Astyanax mexicanus: one gene and its partner. The protein of the gene in region 2 interacts with the protein of the main gene of each other region in a pairwise test. Links are inferred from orthologs where the notes say so. Each region holds a gene or a part of one and is shown on either strand. Other genes may lie near its edges.

Region 1 (15,813 bases), on a different chromosome or scaffold from region 2:
GTTTGCACACACTGCAGCAGGGATTTTGGCCCTTTTCTCCACACAGATCTTCTCCAGATCAGATCAGACAGGTTTCTGGGCTCTCGCTGAAAAACACATAATTTGAGCTCCTTCCAGAGATTATCTATAAGGTTTAGACTTCAGAACCTTGATATGCTTCTTACAGAACCACTACTTATAGGTTACCCTGGCTGTGTGCTTTGGGTCATTGTCATGTTGGAAGACCCAGCAACGACCCATCTTCAATGCTCTAACTGAGGGAAGGAGGTTTTTCCCCAAAATCTCATAATACATGGCCCCGGTCATCCTCTCCTTTTTACAGTGCAGTCGTCCTGTCCCATGTGCAAAAAAACACCCCCAAAGCATGATGCTTCCACCCCCATGCTTCACAGAAGGGATGGTGGAGTTTTTGTCATTATTCTTCGTCCTCCAAACACGGCGAGTGGAATTAAGACCAAAAAGTTTTATTTTGGTCTCATCTGACAACTTGAACTGTCTCCCCTTTCTTAGGATCATTGATTTGCCACAAGTTGAGATCTTGCATGGAGCCTCAATGCGAGAGAGATTGACAGTCATGCTAAGATTTTAAATCTTCTATTTTCTAATAATTGCTCCATCAGTTGATCTTTTTTCACCAAGCTGCTTGGCGATCGCCCCATAGCCCTTTCCCATCTTGTGGAGGTCTACAATTTTATCTCTGGTGTCTTTGGACAGCTCTTTGGTCTTTTGGTCATATTAGTAGTTGGTGTTTTATTGATTGTGTGGGGTGGACAGGTGTCTTTATGCAGCTAATGACCTCAAACAGGTGCTTCTTATTTAGAATAATAAGTGGAGAGGAGATGGACTTTTTAGAGGTGCACTAACAGCTCTTTAAGAGACAGAATTTTTGCTGATTGGCAGGTGTTCAAATACTTATTTGCAGCAGTAACACACAAAATAATTATAAAAAAAAAAACATACATTGTGATTTCCAGATTTTGTTTTTTTTTTAGATTACATCTCTCACAGTGGACGTGCACCTAAGATGAATATTTCAGATCCCTCCATGATTTCTAAGGGGGAGAACTTGCTAAGTCGCAGCTTGTTCATATATTTTCCTCACTTTACTTTACAAAATGTACAAATATTTTCTATTACAGTTAGGATTAGTAACAAGCATGAAACCCTTTGATGTAATGCTTGAATATGAATTCTAAAGATATAGGCAAAAATTGACAAAAATGCCTAGGTAATAAAGGTTTGAGTAAATGTACCGTATTTTTCGGACTATAAGGCGCACCGTATTATAAGACGCACTATCAAAGAACGCCTATTTTCTGCTATTTTTCCATACATAGGGCGCATCGCATTATAAGGCGCGTTAAGTGACACTAGAAAGGGTGCCTATATCAAAGTGAACAGGGGTGGCGCCATGTTTCCCTTCCCCCACCGGGGGTGGTCGCTTGCCGGTGGAGCGTCTCAGTATATATAAATCTAGCTCTTTCAAAGTCAAACGAGTGCTGGATATTAATCTACACAGATTCCTCTCCTGAAAACTGTTTATTTGGGTGAGTAACGTGCTTCAGTTTATTTACAGTAAGCTTAGATTTCCAGATGTCCACTAAGGCTTGCTGCACCAGCGTTAGCATAGCTATCCGCTAGCACGCTAGCTAGTCACCTAAACTAGTAAAGTTAACCCAAACTTAAACGACAGCGTTACACTGAGTAATCCTGCGTGTTCTGGTAAGACAGTGAGATATTAGCTAGCGATTCGTCCCCCGTAGCTTGTTTTAACACGGTAAACAAGCAGATTACAGGCTGATAAAACTCACCTCTGAGAGAGTTAGCGCTTAGCATCTAGCTAATGCTAGCCAGGCAAAGCAGCACAGACTTACAGGCCGATAACTCACCTCTGAACGGTGAACGCTTAGCGATTAGCATCTAACTCTAATAATACTGCTCCAGCAGTATTAAAAGTGCTAAATTTAGAAAATACTGATCTCTGAACAGTGAAAAAGCTAGCTAGCTAAGCGGTTAGCATCTAGCTAATGCTATTGCTGCTCTGCACGGAGTGTGTGTTTACTGCTCCTTACACCTGACGGGTAAAATTTAGATAATACTGATCTCTGAACAGTGAATAAGCTAGCTAATGCTATTTGCTGCTCCAGCCTCGGAGCTGCACGGCTCTGGACTCTGTATAGCACTGAAACTCTGTATAACGCTGCACGGAGTGTGTGTTTACTGCTCCTTACAACCTGACGAGTAAAATTTAGATAATACTGATCTCAGTGAATAAGCTAGCTAGCTTAGCGGTTAGCATCTAGCTAATGCTATTGCTGCTCAGCCTCGGAGCTGCACGGCTCTGGACTCTGTATAGCACTGAAACTCTCTATAACGCTGCACGGAGTGTGTGTTTACTGCTCCTTACAACCTGACGAGTAAAATCCATACAAAAGGCGCACCGTATTATAAGACGCACTGTCAATTTTTGTGAAAATTAAAAGTTTTTAAGTGCGCCTTATAGTCCGAAAAATACGGTAGTTATCAAGCAATTTAGTTAGATGCTGGTTTACCACCGGATGTTTGGAATTCCATAGTTTTTGCTAACAGGAAATGAGGGGGAGCGTAAATGTTCTGCCATGGGATCAGTCCTGAAGATGTGATTTCAGATTGTGTTAATTTCTCTTTACTCATGGGTTTTGTGGTGTGTGTACTCTGGAAGAACCGAAACATTATTTCTGTTTTTTTTTTTCTCTGTGGTGCAGGATGACGAACTGGCAGATTCTGAAGGTGTGACTAGTGAAGGTAGAGCCCATCCTTTTTTCTACTGCACTTTTCTGTATTGTATTTAAACCGGAGGAACCGTAGTATACAATAATTAATCTCTAGACCAGCGGTGCACAACTCCAGACCTGGAGGGCTGGTCTCCAGCACCTCCTTAATTAAGTGGTGATTAACTGAGGAGTTGAATCAGGTGTGGTTGAGTAGGCCAACTTAGAAACTTACACAGCCCTCCAGGAGCTGTGCACTCTGTTTAGGATTAAGCTTTAATGCTGTATATGATGCCAGTATGATGCTAAGACTTTATACAGTAAGTAAATTAATTAATAATTGATGAATTACAGAATAATAAGCTTTTTTTGAGAATAGCACGGAACAACTGCATTTATTATGGTATTATAGTACCATTGCATAGTTAACTAAATGTCAGCTTAACGTAACATATTAAAAAAACATATTTTATTGTATTAATCCCAGAATCATTCAAAATCATTGCGTTTTTTTTTTGCATTATGATGTGATATCCTCAAAAAATGCAACAAAAAAAAAAACATGTATTTGCTCATATTAACATTTTAAAATATATCCTTGCCATTTGGGATCAGCAGGACCCAATTAGTAAAAACAAAATTAGCTTTGTACAGAAAGTAAATAACATAGTTTCAAATATAAAATTCTATGACATTAGAATTTTATGTGTCTGTCTGGACTGGCTGTAGAAACTTTTGACTGGGATTCCCGCCATCTTGTTTTCAATCACTTAACTATAATGTTGTCATGTGACCACTAGATAGTGCAGGCGGTGTCTCCATATTAATCTAAAGGGTCAACCTTTTAAAAAATTAAGTATACTGGTGTAGAGAAGCAGAAATGTAATGTCCTCGTATGAGGACGCTGGGTCTCAAGAGGATATTTATATATTTTTTTTAAACCTTTCTGTTACCTTCAATTTTACTACTATCTTTTATTCTTGGGTCAATTTGACACCAGCAATTTTAATCTCCTGAAAATTCTTATATAATAATTTAAATTGTTACACAAGTTTATGTCACATGCTATATTTGTTTGTTGACTACTTAAATATCCTTTAAAAAAACGTTTACTTAGATGTTATTTTCAGTTAAGAGAGCAGAGAGACAGAGCACTAGGAGAAATGGTTTAGAAGGCTGCACTAAACCTTCTATATGTCTGCACTACCACTTATGTATGAATTATGAATTATGTATTCCCCGCCCCCTGTTGTGTGAACTGTCGTGTTTCTCGCACTTTTCCAGTTGTGGTGATGTCAGGTTAGGGCTGTAAAGTTTTTCAAAGATTATAAGATTGCATGTCATAGTGATTTTTTCAACATTTTAAAGCGAAAGTGTGTAAATTTTGCTGATTTAAAAAAAAAAGTTTTATACAGCTAAAACTGCCTGGGCTCAAACAGAACCCATTAAACATTGAAGTGTGCAAAATGTGTACAGGATACTGGAAACATGTCATCATGTTCATTTTATATTTACCCAGTTGGCCTCATTAAATTAATATAAAAAAGTCACTAAATATGAGAAAAAAATCAGAGCAATCATTTATTTAAAGAAGTTAAACTGCTATTATTGAAAGATAATAGCAGGGTTAACCCATCCTCCCTCAATGTAAACTACATTACTGCTTTGCATAGAAACTGGCAGTAATATCAAATTTTTGCATAGGCTACAGACTGTACTCGCTTTGTGTTTTAGATTGTTGTTTTTCAAGCCTGGTGTGGCGGCTTATTGCCCTGCACATTTTGGTGCTAGTCATCTGATTAGTTGGATCCGGTGTGTTGGGAGCAGTAAAAACTCCAGAACCATGGTTGAGAAACACTGTTTTAGATCACATTCACACAGCAGGCAGAAGTGGCATAAAACAGAGAGGTGTTATATACAGGGGTTGGACAATGAAACTGAAACACCTGCCATTTTAGTGTGGGAGGTTTCATGGCTAAATTGGAGCAGCCTGGTGTTCAATCTTCATTAATTGCACATTATTGTGCCAGTAAGAGCAGAGTGTGAAGGTTTAATTAGCAGGGTAAGAGCACAGCTCTGCTTTAAATATTCCAATGCACACAACATTATGGGTGACATACCAGAGTTCAAAAGAGGACAAATTGTTGGTGCACGTCTTGCTGGAGCATCTGTGACCAAGACAGCAAGTCTTTGTGATGCATCAAGAGCCACGGTATCCAAGGTAATGTCAGCATACCACCAAGAATACCAACCACATCCAACAGGATTAACTGTGGACGCTGTAAGAGGAAGCTGTCTGAAAGGGATGTTCGGGTGCTAACCCGGATTGTATCCAAAAATCATAAAACCAGATGTGCACCAGAACTGTCCGTCAGGACAATAAATTATTGTGGTCTAAAACCAGGTGTTTTAGTTTCATTGTCCAACCCCTGTATATGGCTGAAAATACACTGAATCTGACATCATCCAATTTGCAATAATGCGGCTTTGTCTGGACAGCTAGATTTGAAATCAGTTTGATCTTTAAATTAAGGACAAAGCAAAAGTGTGCTTAAGTACACAGGAGAAGAATGACAGCAGTAAATGAGGTTTTCAGAGGTGTGATAATGAGGTAACATCCCAATATTTGGGGCAATATCTCTGTTTAAACTTAATTCGACGGCTTGTGTTGCAACACCGCCATATTTCTGAAGAAATGTCTGAATGTGGCGTGTCTGAGAGAGATAAAAAGCCTGTAAAATAAAGTTTAAAGGGGGCAAGGATGCAAATCAAACAATGTGCCCTTTTTACAGTGAGCTGAAGCAAATTCTCAGTCTTCATCCCAAGCTGCAGCCACTGGAACTCCTCGATCGCTCCTGTGATGCTGAAGAAAGTGAAAATGAAACCGAAACTTCACGTGAAGCGCATCTCTTTAGCCCAGTTTAAATGAATGTAGGATACAAGTCACAGTAAATGCTTGTGTTAACAGCCTAAAACATTGGCAAACATTGAATTTGTTGAGAAAATCTTAACTTTGCTGTGTGAACAAAGCCTAACATCATCAGAAATAAATCATTCTCATTCTCTTTGTCTCTCTTGCAGAGTTTGACCGATTCTTGGCCGAGAGAGTGAAAGCAGCAGAGCGCCTTCCTTCTGTGAAAGCATCGTCTCCTGACCACACGCCCTCAAAATCATAGTAACTGCAGGGATAAGGTTACAAACAAGTATGACTGGTAGTATAACATTGCTCATAATAAAGGTTTTCTCTTGTGTATAGTTCTGTAGCAAAGGACCATGTTACATACAGCTCTGGAAAAAAATAAGAGACCACTTAAAAATGATGAGTTTCTTTCATTTTACCAAATTGAAAAACTCTGGAATATAATCAAGAGGAAGATTGATGATCACAAGCCATCAAACCAAACTGAACTGCTTGATTTTTTGCATCAGGAGTAAATGCATAAAGTTATCCAAAAGCAGTGTGTAAGACTGGTGGAGGAGACCATGATGCCAAGATGCATGAAAACTGTGATTAAAAACCAGGGTTATTGCACCTAATATTAAGGTCTGAAAGCTCTGCATCTTTTTTGTTATTTCAGACCTTTCTCAATTTCTGCTAATAAATGCTCTAAATGACAATATTTTTATTTGGAATTTGAGAGAAATGTTGTCTGTAGTTTATAGAATAAAACAACAACGTTAATTTTACTCAAACATAAACCTATAAATAGCAAAATTATAAATAGCAGACAAACTGATTCAGAAACAAAAGTGGTCTCTTAATTTGTTTCAGAGCTGTATATTATGCATCATGTATTGAGTAGCTTCACAAAGGTTTGTTACGATAATCTTAATTCACAGTTCATGACAGTTTTCTTAACACCAGTAATCTTAGTTTCCCTGTCGTTGATGACAAATAAGGTTTTAGGTGTTTTTTAATTATGGGTTTAAGATGATTATAATTTAGCTAATATTTTAAAAACATAAAATTTATTTTATCCAGCTTATTCTGTGTGATGACAAGGAGGGTCCATGTTTATTTGATTTGTGTCAAATCCTCCGGTGCAGCAGCCACAGACGCAGCTTCCCTTATACTAGTGCATCTAAAAATGTTTGAATATCAATAAAAAGTGACTTTATTTCAGTAATTTAGTTCAAAATGTGAAACTCATATATTATATAGATGTATTAAACACAGATTGATCTATTTTAAGCATTTATTTCTTTTATTGTTGATGATTATGGCTTACAGCCAATGAAAACCCAAAAATCAATGTCTCAGAAAATCTGAATATTATATAAGACCAATTGGTACTTTTGTCAGTGTGGGCAGTGTGCCAAGTCCTGCTAGAAAATGAAATCCACATCTGCATAAAAGTTGTCAGCAGCAGAGGGATAATGTAAGGCTGTAAGATTTTGTGGGAAAACAAAACTGCACTGACTTTAGACTTGATAATAAAACACAGTGGATCAACACCAGCAGATGACAGACATGCCTCTCCAAACCATCACTGATAATCAGTACATTTTACATTTCATTTGTAAATCAAGGGAGCAGAGTCAAGGGATCAAGTCTAAAGTCAGTGCAGTTTTGTTTTCCCACAAAATCTTACAGCACTTCATGCTTCCCTCTGCTGCTGACAACTTTTATGGAGATAAAAGCGGATTTCATTTTCCAGCAGGACTTGGCACACTGCCCACACTGCCAACCAAAAGTACCAATTGGTCTTATATAATATTCTAATTTTCACTATTTTTTGGGTTTTCATTGGCTGTGAGCCATAATCATCAACAATAAAAGAAATATGCGCTTAATATAGATCACTCTGTGTGTTTAATACATCTAAATAATATATGAGTTTAACATTTTGAACTGAATTACTGAAATAAATTAATAGCAATTAATATGAATTACTATGACCGGATATTCTAACACAAATGCAGAAGAAACAAACTCTTGGCAGAATAAGGTGGATAGACAAGAGGTGCTGCACAATAGTATATAGTTTTACATGACAATATGCCATTCTCTGCTTTACCAGATTGTTATACAGTTAATATTTTTGCCATGAGCACTTTAATGGAGTAATGTTAGCTGGAACTGCTTGTACTCACACTTTTTTGACAGACATTTTATTGTATTTTTCATAATAAACACTAATAAACAGTGGCTATCAGAAGTGAAGTGGGCTGTAAGTTTCTGTTGTGGTTAAAAGAGAAAATGTCTAGTTTGTTTTGTCTGTATTAAAGTCAGCATTCACTGCAAATGGTCTTACTTGATTTCTTATTTTATATTTATGTAATATGTAACATTATCAAACTACACTGTATGAACATATATCACAGATTTTCTGTTGTAGTACTCACATCTAAATGTATAACACTGTGTTGATCCATTTTCTAGATTTACACATTTATAACCAATACAAATCACATCACTCAAAACACTTCAGAAGATGGTCTGAGACGCATTAAAACAGGTACAAATCTGATCACTAAAGAGACACATTTGAGAATATTGTATATCATCCCAAACTGACAAACAGAACCTGAATGAAGTCCAGCAGAGGGCGGTAACATTGCATTTTAAACGCCATTCCTGTTACTGTGCTTTTTATAAAGGATTTCTTTCTGGGAGTTGCACGTGTTTATTGTTTTGTTCTGTTGCTAAACTTCCTACTGCATTGTTTTTGTCACTGGTCCAGTTCCTATATGAAGCCGTTTTATCTGTATTCTTTTGTTCTTTGTTATAAATGAACATAACACTGTTCGTAAAATCTAAGAATTTTATTATTATTATTATTATTATTATTATTATTATTATTATTATTATTATTATTATAGATTTTATTATTATTATTATTATTATTATTATTATTATCATCTAGTGATACATTATTACTTAAATAAAATATAATATATTAGAAAATAGCTAGCTAGTTATGACAGGATATTCTAGTTATAACTTAGGACTTAATAACAACAACAATAATAATAGTTGTTATTATTATTTTTTATTATTAATAATAGTATTATTGTTAATATTGTTGTTATTATTATTACTGTTATTATTATTAATAATATGATTATTATGATTTATATTGTGTTATTATTATTATTATTATTATCATCATCTAGTGATAAATTATTACTTAAATAAAATATAATACATTAAAAAATAGCTAGCTAGTTATGACAGGTTATGCTAGTTATAAATTAGGACTTAAAAACCACAACAATAATAATAATAATAGTTGTTAATATTATTTTTATTATTATTATTAATATTATTGTTAATATTGTTGTTATAATAATAATAACGATAATAATAATAATAATAATAATAATAATAATAATAATAATAACATTATTTAATGATACATTATTACTTAAATAAACTAGAATACATTACAAAATAGGTAGCTAGTTATGACAGGTAGCTAATGCAAGTTATAAATTAGGACTTTATTATTATTATTATTATTATTATTATTATTATTATACTAATACATAATTACTAAAATAAAATAAAGAGCTATTTACGACAGTTAGTTAATGCTTGTAAATAAAACAGGAAATGAGTATCTGAGATAAATACAATATCGGGAGGATATCGGCCTTTTATTGAAATTTAACTTTAAAATATGTCGTAAAAAAGAGCAGTTTGTTTTTTTTAGCTTAAGAGCTTCAGTTTAGTAGAGGAGTCTAGATAGGAACCCAGTGTAGCGGCTCGTGTTGTCACACTGTAAAGTGACCCCCATAATGGGCAGAGCCGACAGGGGTCTGAGCGAGTGCGGGGAGGGTAATAATAATTAGCCTGCTGCTGAAACAGCCGAAATAAAGTTATAACTGGAGGATAGTTTGAGTAATAAACAGCGCCGCGGTCGCCTGAAGGGTTTAGTAGGGGCGCTTATGGGTTTAATTTGGGTTTATTAGCTAATATAGCTGTTAGCTAACTATCCCGGCTAGCTAATTTGATGAGGGCTCGGTGGGAAAGCCCAGCTAAGCTAAGCTAAGCTAGCTTCAGCCGCCGGTTCACTAAATCTCCCCCGTTCTTATGAAAGTTAATCGCTAACTATCTGAATTATGTCCACCTCGTCTTTAGACAGAGAGCTGCAGGAGCGGCTGAGAGAGGCGAGCGCTATCGGAGACATTGATGAAGTGCGGAATCTGGTGGAGAGCGGCGTCAACATCAACTCTCAGAACGAAATCAACGGCTGGTAGGTGTTAAATAAGCTGTTATTCTGCTTTAAAATGCAGTTTAATGTGTTTAAATGGCTTTATCTGGTGCTGTAGACATTATAGACCAGGTTACACTATTATCCAGCACTGTTGTATTTGTCTTTAAACAGGAAATACACTGTAAATCCTCAGCTCCACCCTAGCAGGCTAGCTCTGTGGCTAACATAGCTATAGTCGTTTTAATTATACAACTGACACAAGCTGTAATCAAGTTTAAACTGGTAATAAGTCTTATTTCTAGTGTTTACTGGTTAATATCAGCTGAAATGATAGTCCATTCTGCCTAGACCAGTTTCACATATCCTTATTTCCTTAAATGAATATTGACTAGTTACTATTCATTTGCATCGCATTTCTCTCTCTTTTTAATCTATAATTAAATTTTTACTACTATTTGCTCTAGTTATAGATTACATATCAAATTACTTCTTTTGCAAGTAGCGACTTTTGTTCCATATACAGCTCTGGAAACAAATTAAGGGACCACTTCAGTTTCTGAATCAGTTTATAGTGATATATTTGAGTAAAATGAACATTGATGTTTTATTCTATTCCTAATAAAAATATTGTCATTTAGAGCATTTGTTTGCAGAAAATGAGAAATGGCTGAAATAACAAAAAAGACACAGAGCTTTCAGACCTCAAATAATGCAAAAAAAAAAAAAACAAGTACATATTCATAAAGTTTTAAGAGTTCAGAAATCAATATTTGGTGGAATAACCCTTGTTTTAAGTTTTCATGCATCTTGGCATGTTCTCCTTCAAAATTCAAGCAGTTCAGCTTGGTTTGATGGTTTGTGATCATCCATCTTCCTCTTTATTATATTCCAGAGGCTTACAATTTGGTAAAATCAAAGAAACTCATATATGTTGTCTCTTATTTTTTCCAGAGCTGTATATAAGTGATTCTCTTTTACATAACAATTTCATATTTTATTGGTTATTTTTAAGTGACGCTCAAGCTATTGTTTCCTTTACATTTAATTTTGCAGTGTAGGTATCTTGAAGTACACTTTCTACAAGTCAAAAAAGTAACCTGTAACTAATAAAAAAAAATTATGAGAGTGAAATTACATGCAACTCAATGGTAATTCTGACTAGTGAACATTCCACTAAGATTACATTTATAGATCTGAGTCCTGACTGGCTGTGGTGGCTTGTGATCCCTGGAAGCTAGCAATAGACACAGCTTTGGGTTATCCAATTAAGCAGCTTGCCAACATTTGCTTAAATCCACCTTATACAACTAAAGAGTGAACAGGCTTTATTCTATCCAGTGCTTGTTTGCGGCAGGTTTGTGTAGAGTTTAGCTATTTTTTTATTTTTCTATTTTAGCTAGTTGTCTACTTCTTTATGTAACCCTTACTTGACTTTTTATTATTTTATTTTTTTTTCCTTTAAACCTAGGACGTGCCTACATTGGGCATGCAAGCGAAACCACAAGCACATAGTGGCTTATCTTCTGAACTCTGGAGCCGACAAAGAAATACTCACTGCGAAAGATGAGTTAGCTGTTCAATTAACCTCCAAACCTGAAATCAGAAGACTTCTTGGAGGTACGTATATATACACAAATGTCAAGATTTCAGTTTTTACAGTTTTACAGTTGCTATGCTTTTCTTTTCATGCTATGCATTTTTTTTTGTCTAAGCTGACACAATCCACTCTCGTCTTTCTCTCTCCACAGTGGAGGAGGAGGATGTGCCTGAGGTAAAAGAGCCAGAGCTGCCAATCATTCCGAACTATCTCTCCAACCCGCCCTTCCTGTACAGCAAGATGGATAAGGAGGAACTAAACTTACCACCACATGTTTCTCAGAATGGCACCGCTGACCATTCGGAGGTTGTAGACTCTGAGCCAGCCACTCTCTCTCCCACACAAGAGCAGCAGCAGCAGCCGCCCCAGAGCCAGCCGGCGGTGTCCTACATCTCTGTGGTGGAGCAGAACGGCATTGTGTCAAGCCCGGTGGTGAATGGACCCCTCTCCATGGAAGTGTCACCTGAGGCGCACCACAGCAACCACAGTGAATACACCCACAATCACACAATTTCCCAGAATGGCCCCGTGTGCCCCCCGCTACCCTCGCCAGGTGCGGCCCCTAGTCAGGCGCCCGTCTCTAACCCCACGGTGACACGACAGCAGTCTCTGCCCCAGCAGCTGAACTGCTCGCAGTCTGGAGGCTCCATGCCTGCTTTCCAGCCCTTCTTCTTCACCGGCACCTTTCCAGTCAACGTGCAGGGTATGTGATGGGTTGGGGAGTCTTTTCGACTATTTGTCCACTGCAAGTTTAAATGGTAACGAAGGCCAGGTTACAGTTTCTTTTTCCATTTTACTTTGTTGCTAAATCTAATCTTTACTCAGGGTAGAAATGTGAGATATCAGTTAGCATGCTAACCTGCAAAATGGAAGATTCTAACCAAATGCCAATGGAGAAGTTTTAGCATTAACGACTGCAACACTTCTAAATCAGTAGCATGCCGGGTGCAAGTGTCTTCCATCATTGCTATTTCAGTGTTAACTAACGCAGCACTACTATGCCAGCTACAGCAGTCATCCAGTACTGCTATATTAGTGTTAGCATCCCGTATAATCACAAGCCTTATCTAGTATTCCTAATAAACTCATCCAGTTTCACTACCAAACCATTAGCACGCTGGCTACAGGTATCTTCCAACATTGCTACTTCAGTGTTAGCTTGTTTTCTACCGGTGTCATCTTACATCGCTACCAGACTCGTACAGCACCACTACCGCAGCACTAGTATGCCAGCTACAGGTATCATTCAGTATTGCTTGACCCATCCACTTTTACTACCAAAGTATCTACTGGCCTCATTTCACATCTCTACCAGTTGTTTTGAACAACACCACCGTAGCACTAGTATGCCAGCTACAGGGATCATCCAGTATTGCTAGCTTAGTGTTAGCATCTTGGCTACAGGCCTAATCCCATATAATTTAATGGCCTTGTCTATTTTTTTTCTACTACCCTGACTACCCAGTGCCCGAGTAGGGAAGGGGGGCCCATGAAAATCCAGATTTTTATTCCGCTCATGTTCCTTGTGTACTGAGACCAATAGGGGCCCACTGACATTGAGAGTGTACAGGGCCCATAATTTGTTGCTACACCCCTGTTCCTACTAGACTCATCCAGTTTCACTACCAAAGCATTAGCACGCTGGCTACAGGGTGTCCAGCATCACTACCACTGTGTTGGCACATTGCACTAGCAACCTTATCCAAAATCACTACTGCAGTTTTAGCATATGCACTGCAGTTGTCTTCCAGCATTGCTGTCTTAGTGTTAGCATGTTGGCTACCAACATCGCTACTGCAGCACTAGCACACCAGCTACCACATTGTTAGCACGTTGCCTAGCAACCCTTATCCAGCTCTGATGCTGGCCTCATCCATCATCGCTACTGCAGTGCCCGCACGCTAGCTAAAAGTTGTCCAGCATCACTACCACAGTGTTAGCACACTGACAACAGGCCTCATCCTACAATGCTATTACTAATCGCCTGCAGCCAAGTTTTTAACCTTTTGCCTTTTAAACTAGAACTATGCTATCTATTTTGAACCGATGATGCTTTAGTGCTGCTGTTAGTTAGTGATTAACTCGAGCACCCTCTTCTCCATCAGAGCTGGTCCTGAAGGTGCGTATCCAGAATCCTCATGCCAGAGAAAACGACTTTATCGAAGTGGAGCTAGACCGACAGGAATTGACATACCGGGCACTGCTGCGTGTCTGCTGTCGTGAGCTGGACATTAGTGCTGAACATGTGGAGAAGATTCGCAAGCTTCCCAACACCATGCTTAGAAAGGTATGTTGTTGCTTTTCTACTTTTTCCTTGGAAGAGACTCAACTCTTAGGGTGTACCCTTTCAAGCTACACAAATCTGGTATTGAGAAGTCAGGTGTCTAAAAGTTTTCCATCTCCAGATTGGCTGCTGTCACCCTGTATGATATTATGTGCATGTGGAGTCCAAATTCTTCCACAGAAAGCCACATTCTGATGACTTAAGCATCATCAGGCCTGGAATGTTAAGCACAATGTGAGAATGTGAGGAAATGGGGAAGGCTAAATTCGCTCAGAGTCAGGGTACAAGTCAACCCTTTATTATGATTATGGTGTGGTTATTTACATATTAGATGTATTGTAGTTCTTATATATTCCGTAATTGGTTTGTCACACTAAAGTACACAAACTAAAGCACATAAAATAGTAATTGCTGAGGCTTTCATGAATCCAGGAACAAAAATTAATAATTAAAGGCCAAATTAGTTCCCCTAACATTGAAATTTCATTCCATGTTTATTTGTTGGAATTCTAAGACAGTCAGTGTGAGTGTCAGTGTGTTGAAATGAGCTGTAATACTAAAGTCCAACAGCAGAATTGATACATTGGACATTGGCCTTTGTCATATATTTAATTGGTGTATACTGCCATAATGTAGCTGGAATGGAATAAGGCCAGTAAAGGCCAATGTAATGCTTAAGACGTATTACTGTACATTTTGCAGCAGTTCCTTGTCTGACACAAATATTACACAATGCAAAACTCCCTTTTTCCTAAAAATGGTAGATAATGTTGAATCGCTATCTTGTAGCATTGAATGTCTAGTCCAGGGGTGTCCAAACTTTTTTGTTGGGGACCAGAGGAAGAAATAAATATGAAGTCACGGGCCACAGACAAATAATGAAATAAACCACTTTAAATAATACTTTTTTCCTGATTATTTCATTTAAACACCATTTTACGTGACTTACTATCTTTTTCTTTGACAGTGTTGTGTAAACTAAGATTTTTCAAATTGATGTTTAATTTCATGATGTCTCTTAATATAAAACTCCTTAATTACGGCAACTTGTAGACCATCATAATGTAGCTGGAATGGAATAAGGCTAGTAAAGGCCAATTTAATTCTTAAGTAGTATTACTGTACTTTTAGTTTCACACACATTTTGCAGCAGTTCCTTGTAATCTTTGTATGTGTTGTTTTATTAAAGCACCTTTTGCTTCTTTGTACAAAATAACAGATTATGCAGATTATGAACAATGGAAGAGTTTCATTCCAACTTTTTTTTATTTTATTACACATAAATTACACAATGCAAAATCATTTTTCCCTAAAAATGGTAGATTATGTTGAATTGCTATCTTGTATTGTATTGCATTGAGTTTCTAGTGTGTAAAATCTGCTCTCGAAAACAAAACGGAATTAGCAAATTACATTTTTAGTAATTTTAGTAATTTTATTTTTTATTACACAGACATTACACAATACAAAACTTCTTTCCCCCCTAAAAATGGTAGATAATATTAAATTGCTATCTTGTAGCATTTCATTTCTAGTGTGTAAAATCCACTCTCTAAAACCAAAAGGAATTATGTATTACAATATTTTTAACTTTTCAAGTCTAAATTCTACAAAAGCAGTCCAAAAGCAGAATTGTCACATTGCCTTAGCCACATATTTATTTGTAGACTGTCATCATTTTGCTAGAATGGAATATGGCCAGTAAAGAGTATATGTTTTTATGAACACATCTTATTCATGCTGAAACTCTATATATCTATGCACATCTATGTACTGCCAAGCACTCATGGAATCCAGATAGGCTAGACCAGCAATCAGCAAGATGTTATCAGTGGTCACATGCCAGCCTGCTTTGTAAAGGTACAATAGTCCTTCAACAGCTCTGTTACATTCACCACACAGCTAATAATGCTCTACTTTTGTCTTGTTTTTGTGTTTTTGCTTGGTGTTGACTTTGCAGGACAAAGACGTGGCTCGGCTACAGGATTTCCAGGAGCTGGAGGTCGTGTTGGAGAAGGCGGA
Region 2 (16,346 bases):
ACAGAGAGATAAGTGGATGGTATTGTTACAGAGTGTTACTTAAGTGTGAGAAAGCAAGCAGGTTCCATTTGTAATATTTTAATGCAGAGTTAGTTACTTTAATTTTCTGGAGTCAACTTAATCCAGATTACTGTTTATTTTTATTAGATTTTTCTGAAGTGGAGAGGAGGCAGGTCGCTAATGAGATTTAGACTGATGCTATTTTTTGGGGGGCTGTTCTGTGTTCTGCTGCTGCTGGTCTCCTCATGAACAGCCTTTAGGTCTTATTTTCTTCTGCCCTGCCTTTCAGTGTCCTTTTAACCACATTACTGAATTAAAGGTTTTTGCCAAATTAGCTCTTTCCTTGAATTGCGTTGAACATTTTCATTTTTGTCCCCTGATTCATATAGAGTTGTTTTAAATAAGGTTCTGGGGTTGTGGGACACCAGTGTTAACAGAAACAAGCTTCCACCAAATACTGTACCCATTTGTCCAGCAAGCCTCTTTGGCCAGTAGCCTTTAGCACCCCCTGCTGTACTGGTGGTATTGTTATGGTATGATTTTGATCTGAGCTGTGTTGTCAGGGGTTGTGCAGACTGGTCTGTACAGGATTGAAAAAAGTAGCTTTAATGTGTTTGTATGTTTTCATTACCTTATTGTTGAATTTATCATTACTATTAAATTTATTGAATATTTTCACTGATTGATTATCAATTTCCTGAAATACAGAGCTGCAGTAATTTTAACGTCAGTGCATCACAACACCTGCTTTCCACACCAGGACGTTTTTATTGTGGCCGGGTGCTAACTCATCAGTATACCAGTGTATATAGTGTATACCAAAACACGTCATACACTGATTCATACTGGTTTTACTGACGTGATATGGTCTTGACAGCATCCCAGTGTTTAAAGCCCAATTTAATGGTTTACACTGGTGTGGTGCTGTTGTTGTATTAATTCACAATAATATCAGAAATCAAAACACATCATATACTGGTATGCTACTTGTTGACCAGCAGACTAGTATTCTAAATGACTAGTTTATCTCTATTTTTTCTCTATGTATTAGCCTACAATTTTCATTTTTACAAGTTTAGCCCCAGCTATTCAGCCAGTCAAAATGGGATAAATGTACAATTCCAACAGTTTGGAAAATTAAACCATCACTGTTTGTGGAAACTTCACACTAGACCTCAAAAAGCTTGGACAGTGTGTCTCTCCACTCTTCCTCCAGACTCTGATGTCTGAAATTTTCTGATGGTCAGTGATGGGTTGGAGAGCCATGTCATCTGCTGGTGTTGATCCACTGTGTTATATCAAGTCCAAAGTCAGCACAGCTTCTAGCAGGAGAATTAACAGCACTTCATGCTGCCCTCTGCTGGAAACTTTTATGGAGAAGTGGATTTCATTTTCCAGCAGGACAAATGTACAGATTGGTCTTATATAATATTCTAATAAGAGATACTTATTTTTGTGTTTTCATTGGCTGTAAGCCATAATCAACAATGAAATAAATAAATGCTTAAAATGGATCACTGTTTGTAATACATTTATATAATATATGGGTTTTACATTTTAAACTGAAGTACTGAAATAAAGTAACTTTTAAATGATATTCTAACTTTGTAAGATGCACCTGTATTGGCATCAAAAATTTGCCTCCCTACAGATTTTGTTGTTTTGATATTTTTCCAATTATCAATAAAAAGCATGTTGAAAAAGTGCTTGGCCTCTAAACCTAATAACTTGGTTGTGCCACCGATAACTGGCATGGAGTCTTTCACATTTCGGTAGAGGAAATTTAGCAGACTCTTTGGCCAGATGTAACTAGACACACACCTTCCAAAAAGTTTCATTTGTGTCATGTCAGTCCAAAGAATATTTACCCAAAGTCTTTTAGCAAATGTAAAATGGGCCATTGTGTTCTTTTTGGTCAGCAGTGTTTTTTTTGCCTTGGAACTCTCCCATGGAGACCATTTGCCCAGTATGTTTCATACTATTGAATCATTAACACTGACCTTAACTGAGGCAAATGAGACTTGCAGTTTTTAATGTTGATCTGGGTTCTTTTGTGACCTCCTGAATGAGTTGTCCATGCCCTTTTTGGAGTGATTTTAGTTGGCCTGCCACTCCTGGAACATTCAGTGTGAAACAGCTCTCAGGTGCCAATGACTTTGTTTCCTCATATGTTTTTCAATTAGTTTTTAATGTGTTGTTCTTTTAGCTGCTTCATTTTGTCAGACAGGTTCTATTTAAGTGATTTCTTAATTTTACAGGTCTGGCAGTAATCAGGCCTGGTTGTGGATAGTAAAATTGTACTCAGCTTTTCAAAACGTGTGATAAATCACAGTTCATTTATGTGGGGGCAAACACTTTTTCACAAAGGGCTAGATTGGTTTGGATAGTTGTTTTGGATAGTATATGACAGCAGGTTCCAGTTCCTGCCAATATCCAGCGACTTCACACAGCCATTGAAAAGGAGTGGACCAACAACCTGATCAACTCTACATAAAGGAGATGTGTTGCACTGCGAGAGGCAAGTATTGGTCACGGCAGATTTTTACAATACTGTAAAACTGTACATTTTAGAGTGGCCTTTTATTGTGGCCAGCCCAAGGTACACCTGTGTAATAATCACTGTGTCTAATCAGCATCTTGATGTGCCACACCTGTGACTGGTGGTTGGTTTATTTCAGCAAAGAGAAGTGCTCACTAACACAGATTTAGATCCAATTGTGAACAAAATATGAGAGAAAATTCCTTTTGTGTACATAGGAAAAGAACAAAACAAAATGTTGCATTTGTATTTTTGTTCAGTGTATTTACAGCAGTGATCACTGTAATAGCCCATAATGCATTGCGGTCACTAAAGCACTCTTGTTTCAGTTATAGTTGTGTTTACTGTTCTAATGTTATTGAGTTATGACTCAATTAACTCTTAGGGCCCTATTTTAGCAGACTAAAAACACACAAAAGGCATGTGCTAACTCTCTTAATTAACCATGGGTGTGTTTTGGGTGAAATGTGAAATAGACCAATTAGTGTGCCAGTTCTCATTCCCTTTAAGAAAGGTGCACTCTGACTTTGGCATGTTTGTATCTTAAACAGCAAGGTGCTTTGTGCGTCTCAGTGCCTGTGTGTTCGCGCTGTGAAGGTACACCAATTTATTTAAGGAAACAGCAATGTTACTTTATTCTTGAATCTGTTCATTGTTGAGTTTAAAGTCAGGTTTGCGCTCTGTAGCGTGACCACGTTTGTGTTTAACGAGCAGGGGCGTAGGCATGGGCGGCACACTTATAGGAATGGACTTTGACTGACGATTGACTGTTATCTAGGTTCTTTTCAGTCAGTGGCTCACCTGTGCTTTCCGCTGCCAAAATAGCAACATGCCAGAAATTTACCTGAACACACCTCATGAGCAGGAATGAGCATCATGGCGCACCTTGCATGATAGGGCTCCCAGTCTCCACTAAGCTTTGATCAGTCATAATGGTATGTCTGGTTTCACCCACCAAGTGCCAAGTGTATTTTTTATTGTAAAACTTGCTCTTAAATATTTTTTCTTTATATTTGAGTGATATTAAAGTGTCTCACAAAAGTAAGTACACCCCTCACATTTTTGTAAATATTATATTACATACCGCTTGTATTACAGGGTAAATTTGCTGTGCCCTCAAAATAACTTAACAGACAGCCAGCTATCAGTGCTGGCAGCACTCATACAGCCGCAGACCATAATGCTACCACTACCATGTTTGACAGTAGACAAGAGACAGTTTTCTTGGTGCTCCTAACCAGCATGTGAACATGTGGACTTCTTTGGTCAACCCTGGGGAGGCCTGCTTGGAGAGGAACCTGTCTGAAAACTTCTGTATGACCATGGCCATCATGCTGTATCTTAGTTTTAGGGTGTTATTAATCTTCTACTACCTTATGTCAACCTTTCATGATTTCTTTTTTTCCATGTTTGTCACTCCTAAATATTTCAGATCATCAAACAAATTTTGCACCCTAAACCTAATAACTGGTTGGGCCACCCTTAGCTGCAACTGCAATCAAGCGTTTGCAGTAATTTGCAATGAGTCTGTTACAGAAATGGAATTTTATTCTACTCCTTTTTGCAAAATTGTTGTATTTCCACCACACTGGAGGGTCTTCGAGCATAAGGTCATTTTAAGGTCATGCCACAGCACTTTGACTCGGCCACTCCAAATTGTTCCCTTTGTTTTTCTTCAGCCATTCAGAGGTGTACTTGCTAGTGTGTTTTGGGTCATTGTCCTGCTGCAGAACTCAAGTTCGTTTCAGCTTGAGGAAACAGATGACCGGACACTCTCCTTCAGGATTTTTTGATTTATCACAGCACCATGCTAACATCACCATATTTTATTATAGTAGGGTGACCAAACATCCGTATTTCCCGGGACATGTCCGTTTTTCACGTCCTGTCCCGGGCGGCCCGGGTTTTTTTCAAAAAGTGAGGAAATGTCCTGGTTTTTAAATTACCGTCATTGGACCATTAAATATACAGGCACTAGGGCACTGCGCACGGTGCTGCGTGTGACATAATCCCCAAGCCGCCTCAGTGAGAGCAGTAGACAGCGTGTCTGAGCACGCTGTGGTTCTCTGGAATCACATAAACTTATTTAACTTAGGTGTGATAAACCACAGTTAGGGCCATGTAGGTTAGGATTTTTTTTCTCCTTTTAATAATGAAAACCTACATTAAAAACTGCATTTTGTGTAAATGTGTTTGATGATCTGAAACATTTAAGAGTGACAAACACGCACAAGTATTTATTACACTGTATGTGTCAATACATGAATACAGTTTTCACTATATATGGCCATATATTTCATATATGACATATACTGTATTTACATATATCATATTGTAGTGTCTGGAGATTTCAACCATGCTCTCTTCTCATCATGTCTGCCCACTTACAGCCAGTTTATGGACTGCAAGATTAGAGAAAACAAGACACTAGATATGTTGTATGCCAATGTCAAAGAGACATATAAATCCACAGCTTTCCCTCCGCTGTGCTGTTTAGGCTATAATATGGTTCACTGACTCAAAGACAAGCAAACTTACATTTGTGGTATTTTTAGATTTTGAGTGAAAGACAAACACAAAGTATTGCATAAGTGTGAAGTGAAACGAAAATGATACATGGTTTTCAAAATTTGTATTAATTAGTGTGATGTGCAAAAATATTTTATATCAATACTTAGTAGAGCGACCATTTGCTGCAATTACAACTGTAAGTGCTTTGGGGTTTGGTTACCTGCTTTGCACATCTAGAGACTAGAGATTTTTGCCCATTCTTCTTTATAAAACAGCTCAAGCTCAACCAAGTTGGATGGAGAGCATCTGTGAACAGAAAATTTCATGTCTTGCTACAGAAGCTCAATGCGATTTAAGACTGAGCCATTCTAGCACTAATATTATTTGATCTAAACCACACTACTGTAGATGTGGCTGTATGTTTTGGGTTATTGTTTTGCTGGAAGGTGAATCTCGTTCTCAGTCTCAAGTCTTTTGTTGCCTTCAACAGGTTTCTTTCAGCTCCATCCATCTTCTCATCAACTCTGACCAGTTTCTGTGTCCCTGCTAAAGAAAAGCATCTCTACAGATTGATGGTGCAACCACCATGTTTTACAGTGGGGATGGTGTGTTCAGGGTGATGAGCACCCTGTTGAGTGTTACTTTTCCTCCCCATAGGGCGCTTTGCGCTTAGGCTAGACAATTCAACATTGGTCATATCTGACCACAGCACCTTCTTCCACATGTTTGCTGCATCTGCAAACAGTAATTCACATGTTTCTTTTAACAATGGCTTTCTTCTTGACACTCTTCCATAAAGGCCACATTTGTGGAGTGCATGACTTATGATAGCTGTCCTGTGAACAGATTCTCCCACCTGAGTTGTGAATTTTTGCAGCTCCTCCAAAGTGACCATGGGCCTCTTTACAGCTTCTCTGATCAGTGCTCTCCTTGCTTGATCTGTTAGTTTGGGTGAATGGTCGTGATTTGGTAGGTTTGCAGGTGGAGAATACTTTTCCTTTTTTTGGACGAGGGATTTTACAGTGCTCTTTGGGATGCTTAAAGCTTGGGATATGTTTTTAGAACCTTACCCTGCTTTAAACTGCTTCACAACTTTATCTCTTACCTGTCTGGTGAGTTCCTTAGTCTTCATGATTATTTTATTTACTAGCGTTCTCTAACAAACCACCACTTAGGCATAGACAGAACAGCTGTATTTATACTGAGACTAAATTACCAGAGGTGGAAAAAGTACTGAAAAATTGTAATTAAGTAAAACTTCCTTTACTTTGCTAAAATTCTACTCAAGTCAAAGTAAAAGTACCCATCTAAAAATCTACTCGAGTAAAAGTAAAAGTACTCAATTTAAAATGTACTTGTAATATAGTTACTTTTAATTATTTGATGTAAAAAAAAACTGTTGGTTGGCGCATGCGCTGTGCTGTAAAGAAGCACATATCAATGGGTAGCATAACTCGACAGTTCCCCCGGGTACAGTTGATTTTCACAGCATCTCTCCCGCTAACCATAATAAACACTGCTGGGAAAAGTTCAGCTGCGCTACCATGAAGAACAAAACTCTTTTTTTTTTTTTAAATGAAAATTAGTTTTTTCCCCCCAGCATTTTATTTTTTACTCAGTAATGTAATGTAGCGAAGTAATGTTGCAAAGTAAATTACTTGTGTCACAATGTAGTTGAGTAAAAGTAAAATTACCTATTTAAAAAAAAAATACAAATTACTCATAAAGTCTGTGTGGTTATAAGGTGACAAAATGTGAAAAACGTTCAAGGGGTATGAACATTTTTTTTGCAAGCCACTGTATTCTGGGGGGTTTATGTGTTGGGTTTTGTCTAATTCTTTTATTCTTCTGTTAAACAGAAAACTTCAAGTCCCATGAGTCACAGAGAGATCTAGCAGGCGGGTCTAAGAAAGGGTTGTTGTAGCATGACTGGACACAGTAATGCACTGTTAAAAAGAAACACGGCAGTTTCAATTTAAAGTTCAATTCAGTATAAAATCAACACACACCATACAGGTAAATCAGAGCAGCACATTTAGAGGCAGACTGCTCCAACTGCACCGTGTTAAAGAGCACCATGCCAGATCATTCCTACCAACTGCTTTACTGCATACTACTAGAGCCAGCACTGTTCCCTTACTGTCTAAATTGTTCTAAGGCACTACAATTCACCATACAAATGCCTAGATAACACACTGTACAAATTATTATAATCTACTATGTTACATCACAAAATACAGAGAATAGAAGAAACAGGGGTCATTATGATCATTTAACAGATCAAGTGTTTAATGTATTGCTCACTCAAATCATCTGTGTTCAAGCCCAGGAACTTGATCTCTTTAAGTTTCCCTTTAATCAAAATTACCTGACAACCTAATTAACATACTGTACGCAAATCTCTTAGTCCCATGTTTCATTCACAACAGAACATGGAACACATATCAGATGTTGAAATTGAACCATTTCACAATTTCATAAAAAGCTCAAATTGGGCAACAAAAGGCTGGAAAAGTAAGTGGTACTCTAAAAAAATCAATAGGAGAAATGTGCAACTAATAAAAAGACTTTTGATTATTCCACCATATACAGTTCATACTACCATGACAAGACTGACAAGGCTGATATTGGATAATAGTAATCTTTTCCATACACTCCACAAATGCAAGTTAAAGCTTTAAATAGTTTCTCAAGTTTTGATAAATCTGACAGTACAGTTTCTATCTTGCCTAGAGAGGCGGGCAGCCTTTCTGGATCCTATGGATCCATGGCTTTGTCTTTAACTTGCATTAATTGATTGCATGGTGAACTGTGTTCACAGTTTGTAATATACCGAAATATTTCTTTAATATTGCCCTTATATAAATATAAGTGTGTTGAAAAAAAAAACACTCTCTAATTTCGAAACAAGCAGGAACAGGAGCACACAAGGACGGAGAGTTCTGACCCACAGAGACCTGATATCAGTTGAATGGTCAAAGGTCTACAGTTGGGTTGTGTGGATCTGTTTGTTTCACTAATTATTTGCATTCTGGGAGCAGAGAGGAATGAAAGGACACTTGGTAATGTTTTACTGTTGTAATGTTTTAACTACTGCTGTTGTCAGTGTTTTTGAGACATCAGACATCAGAAATTTGAACTACAGACTGGATCACTCCATCCAATTTAACTAAAAAAAATAAAGAAAAAAGAAACATGAAATATAAAAAACATATATAATAAACTAGCCATCATCAGGCTGTCTTTTGGCTTTCTAAAAGGGGTGGTTATCCCAAGATGACAGAGTGGGCAGGAAATTCTTGGACACGTTTAAAACGTTTTATATTTCTAATTTTAAAAAGCTGAATATGAATATTTAAAATTAAACTTTTTTGGATTAGCTAGGTAGTTAGGCTACCTATTTTACTAATTAATCTGCCATCTATGTTAAAAGGTGTTAAAAGTAGATTATGAAGGACTTTGAGCTGCGAACTGGTACAGCATTCATGTCCTCAGTTATAGGATATATTCTGTGTCCAAGCTTCCTCATGTTCAATGCTAAATCTCTCCAATAAACTTTTACATAGCACATTAAAAGACTCCAATTTAAAAAAGTACCAAAACTATCCTGAGATATTATTAAATATCTCATGTTTGCCAAACATACCATGCAATACACCTAATTCTATCTTCCTCCTAAAATACAGGAAAGTTCTAGCCTTTATCTAAAAATATTGTTGTAATTACAATTAGTTAAACCCAGATAGCAAAGGGATCTTCAGTCAACGGTGAGTCAACATCCCTTTTCTATCTCTATAAGTTATTGACACCATTAGTATAAATATAGTTAAATTTTGCATTAATCTTACATTCATTATTTTATTTTTGTTTAAATATCCACTATATATATATATATCACTATGTGATATGTGTGTTTTTAACTGTTTGACACTACTACATTAATTGTCATTTTAGGTATTTTAAAAACCATTTTGGCCTTTTAACATGTAATTGTAGATATAATAAACTGCTCTTTTACTAGTCAGACTGTAAGTGCAGAGACCTCTCTTTTTTCTGGACAGTCATAAATTAATGCGAAGAAGTTTAAAATTTAATGGTACAGGATTTGACAAAACCCATCCACACCCACCACCCACGTAAGACATTTATTGGCCACCTCAGAGTGTGGATAAACCAATGAGCAAAAAGAGGCGTGGCGTCTGGGGGTGTGCTCTCATGAATATTCAGCGAAAGGCGGTAACAGATTCTTCAAGTTCCCGGTTCCGTTGCTCCCCTCTCTCTCTCTGTAGAAGTCAGTAAGCGGGACAGGACTTCGGTTCAGCGGCGAGAAAATCATCCAACAATGTCCGAGAAGCTGCCATTCAAAGTCGGTCAGTATTTGGAAATGCTTCGTAAACATGCACCTTTTGATTTCACTCCAAAAGCAACGGAGCTGTCTTTTAATCTGATCTGTCTCGGGCGCCAGAATGCAGCCGCTTCACCATTTAAGGTGGAACGGATTATTCTAATGTTAGTTGTGTTATTGTGAGGCTCGAATTGATTTATCATATCGAATTTAACCAATAATGAGTGTATTGTTCTACTCGCTAATATCTATATCGTTACAAACATTTCAGCTAGATAACTTTTGTAAAATACTAACAAATCCGGCTTTCTCTCTTCGCAACCCTGCACTTACCCAGCTACGTATTTATATTATTTTTAATTTAGACGCTACATATTACACTAAACACCTGCAGAAACACATTCAAAACGTGTGTGTGCACACTAAACGATGAGCCACTTCTCCAGAGAGCATGCTTTCATTTGCAGCAGTGCGGGGAACCCATGTTGGAAGTTGTAGTTCTTTGTGCACACAGTGACACTTCTTGCGGATCAGTCTCTCAGCCATAGGGAACTACATTTCCCATGAAGCTGTAATGCTGAACTCTTATTGTTTCTTCAAGTCTTGTCGGAAAACGCTTACGAGACGAGTGCACATAAACCCCACCACCACATTTGACCAGTGGGCAACTGGGATTTTTCATAAACCCCGAATGTACGCGTTGGGGGCGTGTCAATAAACAGCGCTGATTTAACAGCAGCTGCAGTCCGTTTTTATTGGTTTTTATCGTGGCACGTGAGAAAATCAAGTAACGTCAAAATCAAGTAACGTTACATATTACTACTTCTGGATCAAAATATCGCTTCCAAAATCCTCATACTTTGTTTTAGTTTGTATGTGTTTGCAGTTTTGTTATTAAAGTAGACGAGAAAATATATATTTTTTATCGTGTTAATGTTTTTTTCCCGACCAAAAAAACGTAAACTGTTTAAAGGAACTGTTGAACTGTTCAAGTCGGAGGTAGAGCTGAAGGCAGCATTAGCGGACAGTTTTGAAACCTTACTCAGAGTATTAATGGACACGTGGTTGAACTAAGACTGAACACATGTCGTGTTTCAGTCCCATGATAAGATGAAGGTGCTGTGCTGGCTGTATTGATTGTATCGATTACATCACCAGATCTTTTTCTATTAGAAGTCTGTGTCAAGCAACACTGAGATGAAAGAATGTGTAACTGGTTAATTTTTTTTGTTGGACTTTGTATGGCTGGATTGAGGGTCCAGAGATCAGCTTTCAGAAATAAGGTGACATTCTAAAAGTGTTGGGGACCTATTGTAATAATAATATTATGATTATTATTATTATGGGGTTGAAAGTTAAAGTTCTTAAAAGTGCGTGTAAAACTATTAACACTGGTAATATCGTGCTATTTTATGTGCATAGTGCACTACGCCTAATACAAATACACACACCTGGTCTGTGCCTTAGTTGCATTTTGCATATTTGTGGATGAGGAGAGGAACCGAGATGGGTCTCCGGTTTACTTTAAATCAGTTAAAGTCAGTTAAAGACACGCGTGTTTAAAAAAAAAAAGGCTCTTATGTGCGGCTCACGGCAGAGTCTTCTTTGTATGTGTTTTTCTGGGTGAACTGGTCTATGTACATTACAGCACCACCTCGCCACGAAGGTCGGAATTGCAATAGCTAGTTCACTGAGTGCAGCACTGTCTAAACATTAAAAAACACACGTTTTATCATTAGGTGGAGGCTGCCATCTTGTAATTCACTGTGATAATTAAACATGCTTTATATTTAATTGTAATTTTATATTATATTGCAAAATAATTTCTTTATCAATAAACATTATCAAAAATAACCTGAATAAACATAAAGCACTTTTCAAATTATGATTTTATTTATTAAAGGGGAAAAATATACATTCAAACCAATCTAGCCCTGTGTAAAAAAATGCCCCTAATAATAATTTAGTTGTGCCACCCATGGCAGCAACAACTGCAGTAAAGCTTTACCAATAACTGGCAATGAGTCTTTCACATCTTCTTCTTTACAGGATTGTTTTAATTCAGCCACATTGCATGGTTTTGAAGCATGATCAGCCTGTTTAAGATTATGTCACAACATCTCAGATTTTGACTAGCTGACTCGAAAACATTTTTGCAAACCAAACATTGTTGTTTTTTTTTGTACCATTCTGAGATGCATTTGTTTGTGTGCTTTCATTCTTTGTCCTGCTGCAAAACCCAAATACTGCAGAGCTTGAAATGACAAACAGATGGCTGCACATTCTTCTTAAGGATTGTCTGGTAAACAGCAGAATTCCTGGTTTCATATATTACAGCAAGTTGTCCAGCAGAGACCATCACACTACCACCATGTTTTACATTCAGTATAAAATTCTTGTTCTGAGATTATGTGGTAGTTTAACGGCACATGTTACAGGAGACACAATTTCTAAAAAGTTCAAATTTTGTCACATCAGTTCAAAGGCTGTTTACCCAAAGTCCTGGAGATCATCAAGGTGTTTGTTGGTAAATGTAAGATTGGACCATTGTGTTCTTCTTGGTCAGCAGTGTTTTTTGCCTTGTAACTCTCCCATAGAGACCATTTCATCCGGTCTCTTTTTTATTATTGAATAATTAACACTGACCTTAACTGAGGCAAGTTGTTCTGGGTTCTTTTGTGACCTCCTGGATGAATTGTCCATGCCCTTTTGGAATAATTTCTGCCACTCCTGGTTTCTCCATTTGTGAATAATGGCTCTCACTGTGGTCAATGACTGTTTTCTTATGTTTTTTCTTCAGTTGTGGCATAATGTGGTTTCTTGAGTCTACAGGTCTGACAGTAATCAGGCCTGGTTGTGGGTAAAGAAATGGACCTTTCCAGCTTTCAAAAAAGTGTGATTAATCATAGTTAATTTATATGGGTGGCTAGACTGGTTTGGATAGTTTTTTCCCTCAAATAAAATCATTTAAAAGTGTTTTTTTTATATTTACCCAGGTTATATTTGTCTGATTTATTAATCAGTCAATCTGAAAAATGTAAGTATGACAAAAATGCAAAAATAAAATAAATCTGTAATATTTCATGCACTATATATGTGTACATACATATATATATGTAGGTTTGCATTATCTTGTTTTATTTTATATATATATATATATATATATATATATATATATATATATATATATATATATATATATATATATATATATATATATATATATATATATATATATATATATTAATCCTGCTCAAAGCTTCAAGCCATATGATTGTTTTCATTGGATCAGTTACAACTTACAGCTGTTAGGTGGTGTAGGTGTAAATAGTTAGTAGCTACTAGCTCTAACATGTATACTAGTTTTTGTGGTGCAACCTGTTTTGATTTAGTAATGGGCAAGTGTGAATTTAGTATACAGTTACGTTACAACTAGACTAGGTTTGAACTTGCACACAACCCACCAGATGATGAAGGGGTGAGATGACTTGAAACTTAAGCTATGTAGAAGGTATTTATAGGACACTAGATGAGTCGGGGCTCAGGGCATGTTGCTCCTCCCATACTTAAGTTATTCCGTTTACTATTTAAATGGCTAGTTACCTATAGTGGAAATAAGGAATTTCTGATTACTGACTGAATCAGATGACTAAGTTGTCTGGAAATTCTTTTAAAATGCAACTTTGTTGTGCTCTCTGTCCAATATAAGTATGACTCCATTGTGTGAAAATAGCTATTGTAATTTAAAATGTTGTAGTTGCATAATTGTGCTTCTCTTACCAATATTTGTCCTTAACCAATCATAAATATACAAAATGCATTTAGTGAAGATGACCTAAGTTGCCAATGTCATGACCCTAAAACAAGTGCACAAACAAATACAACACGTATTTTAAAAAGCAAAAAAGCATGTTGTCTGTAGTCTTCTTTTACTCAAGTAAGGATATTCTCCTCAACGACAGACTTCTAGCACCTATAGGTCTTGTAACTTATTGAAGGAGAGAAAACGTCAGTAGTGAGATGTCATTAATAACATTAGCTAGACTGAAGAACATTAGAAATGCTCCAAAGGAGAATTTGAAAGTAAATAATAATTTGCTCAAAGAATATAAACTCTGAATTCTGCACAGTCCTAAATTATATCTTTTAACTTCACTTTGAATGTCTGCAAATTATTTATTTTTCCATTCTGTGATTCAGTCTGTGTTGGCCATACTTTTCAGACTTCAACAGACTATCTCTCCTTTATGGTTCTTTTGTGTGTGTATGCAGCTGATATAAGCCTGGCTGAGTGGGGGAGGAAGGCAATTGACATTGCGGAGAATGAGATGCCGGGGCTGATGAAGATGAGGGAGGTTTATGGACCAACCAAACCTCTGAAAGGAGCTCGTATTGCCGGCTGTCTACACATGACCCTTCAGACCGCTGTCCTGATCGAAACCCTCACTGCACTCGGAGCCGAGGTGAGCGCTAATCCTGATCATAATATTGACCTGGTTTATAGATTTTAGAGTTGTAAACCCCCAGAGAGCCTTACCCAGAGACCTCTTTATAATTAGTTTTAAAATTATATTAATGTTGGGCTTAAAACAGACACGTAAACCATAATAAACAGCTGCTCACCACTTACAGGCTCTCAAGACTAGCGGGTATACAATCCACACTGTAATACATTGATTACTCTTAAGATGTTTTATATATTTAATAGGTGACCTATATTCAAATGTCTAACATACCCGTCATTCTGAAACAACCTATAAACCCTAAAAAAGAGTTTTGTATATGTGTTTCTGGCTGATTAATGTTGACAACACAGATTCCCTATTGAGTCAATTTAATAGAAACTTTTAAAGTATCTTTAATAGATACTTTCTCAGTGTTGCAAAGTGAAGTTTAGGCTCATGGCAGAATAAATTATTAGCTCTGTGTTCTGAAACTGTAATTATATTTAATAGGTAATGGTTTGTGTTAATTTCTGAGTGAGTGACTAGGAGTGAAACTATTAAGGATCTGCTGGTATGTTATGAAAATCATGAGAGGAGTCTCTTTGTTACTCTTTTCATTGGTTTCCCTGTGGAACTGGGATTTTCCAGCCTCAGTGCTGTGCTGGTTTATCAGTAACAGACTTCTCATAAATGAGCAAGCATGTAAGAGAGCAGGAGCCTGAAGTTGCAACTGAATTTAAAAACTGACAGACTTAAGCTGATTTTATATGTTTACCCCTCCTCTTCAGGTCCAGTGGTCCAGCTGTAACATCTTCTCCACTCAGGATCATGCTGCTGCAGCCATTGCTAAGACCGGTGTCCCAGGTGGGTGTGGGGGTGTGGGTGTTTAGGTGTGTTCGTTCATCCAGACAAACTCTCTAAAATGGACTCTAGTGATGGGACAATACCATTTTTTTTTTTTATTTTTTTTTTTTTTAGGGAAAAGTCTTATCTTAATAGCATATTAAATTATACTACTTTTCAATTTAGTCAGTTTTATCAATTATTTATATTTATAAATAATTATCATTTATTTATTTCTATTTGTTTTTTGAGGATATTTATTTATTTAGACTTAGATTAGACTTCATTTATTGTCATTCTTAATACACTCCTGTATGCAGAATTAAATTTCGTTGAATTGACTCGCAAAAATACAGAGAAAAATAAATACATTTAGCAGCATGAATATTAAGTATAGATATATCACATAGATACACAATGTACATCTTCAAATATATACACACCTCTATGATAGAATCATAAATATCTATAAATAAAGTGACTTGTGCAGTTAGAAATATGTAAAGTGTGAAAAAGTAAATAACTAGTACTCAGAGTTTTCTTAAATTGACCAAGGTTTTAGGAGTTTAGGAGTAACATTCTAATAGCTTGGGGGAAAAAACTGTTACAGAACCTGGTGGTCCTGCACCGCATACTCCTGTATCTTTTTCCAGAAGCCAGCAGGGAAAACAGACCATAGTGAGGATGTGAGGGGTCACTGATGATGTGCGCTCGTGATATGCAGCGTACTAATGCAAGGTCCTGGATGGGGGGGAAGAGAAGTCCCAACGATTTTCTCCGCTGTCCTCACCACTCTCCTCATATTCTTCCAGTCAGAGGCGCAACAGCCTCCACACCACACAGAGATGCAGCTCGTCAAAATGCTCTCTATGGTGCTTCTGTAGAATGTAATGAAGATAGGCGGGGGCAGGTGGTTTTTTTTTTTTTTTTTTTTTTTTTTTTTTATATCCTGGAAGTGCAGGCGCTGTTGGGCCCTCTTGACCAGTGACATGGTGTTTACAGACCAGGTGAGGTTGTCTGTGATGTGCACCCCTAGGAACTTTACGCTGCTGACCACCTCCACAGCCATGGTGTTAATAAAGAGAGGAGTATGGCTGGGCTGGTTCTTCCTGAAGTCGATGATGATCTCCTTTGTTTTATCCACATTCAGGATCAAGTTGTTAGCACTGCACCAACCCACCAGCAGGTCGACTTCCTCTCTGTAGGCTAGGTCGTTGTCATCTTTGATGAGACCCACCACTGTAGTGTCGTCTGCGAACTTCACAATGTGATTAGTGGCAGACCTAGGGACACAGTCATGAGTCATCAAAGTGAACAGCAGGGGGCTCAGTACACATCCCTGAGGTTGAGGTTGACGGTGCATTGTGTCGGTACTTAAAATAGGTTGGAGAAAGCTTTCTAAAAATTACTAGATGTTCTCACTGTTTACAAATGTCTTTTGCTTGCTTGTGGTTGTACTTAAACCACAAATGGGAAATTTAAGTGAAAACAAAATAAATAAACTTTTTTAACCATTTCTTTATCATCTGTAGTTTGATTTTCAGTAGGGGGAAAAAATGGATGAAAATTAAAAAAATAGATTTTTTTTAATCGTAGATGTTTTTTGGGCCATATCGCCAAGCTCTACTTTTAGTCTGGGCGTCAAAATGTCTTAATTGTTATT

Evidence for each region.
Region 1: the proteins of ahcy (region 2) and ankrd40 interact in binary tests that used the Homo sapiens proteins (3 or more experiments, as listed by UniProt). The two-hybrid records come from large-scale screens. The link is inferred for Astyanax mexicanus from reciprocal best matches to the Homo sapiens genes AHCY and ANKRD40.

What each region holds. Positions count from the first base shown.
Region 1 is NC_064426.1:37,173,234-37,189,046, reverse strand, and holds the start of ankrd40 (ankyrin repeat domain-containing protein 40), read left to right. Parts: upstream 1-9,468; 5' UTR 9,469-9,815; coding exon 9,816-9,949; intron 9,950-11,378; coding exon 11,379-11,527; intron 11,528-11,658; coding exon 11,659-12,210; intron 12,211-13,612; coding exon 13,613-13,794; intron 13,795-15,751; coding exon 15,752-15,813. Other genes in the region: tom1 (target of Myb protein 1), read left to right, coding at 2,745-2,784, 5,832-5,926.
Region 2 is NC_064412.1:43,551,288-43,567,633, reverse strand, and holds the start of ahcy (adenosylhomocysteinase), read left to right. Parts: upstream 1-9,265; 5' UTR 9,266-9,392; coding exon 9,393-9,420; intron 9,421-13,667; coding exon 13,668-13,858; intron 13,859-14,628; coding exon 14,629-14,704; intron 14,705-16,346. UniProt on the Homo sapiens protein: Catalyzes the hydrolysis of S-adenosyl-L-homocysteine to form adenosine and homocysteine. Binds copper ions.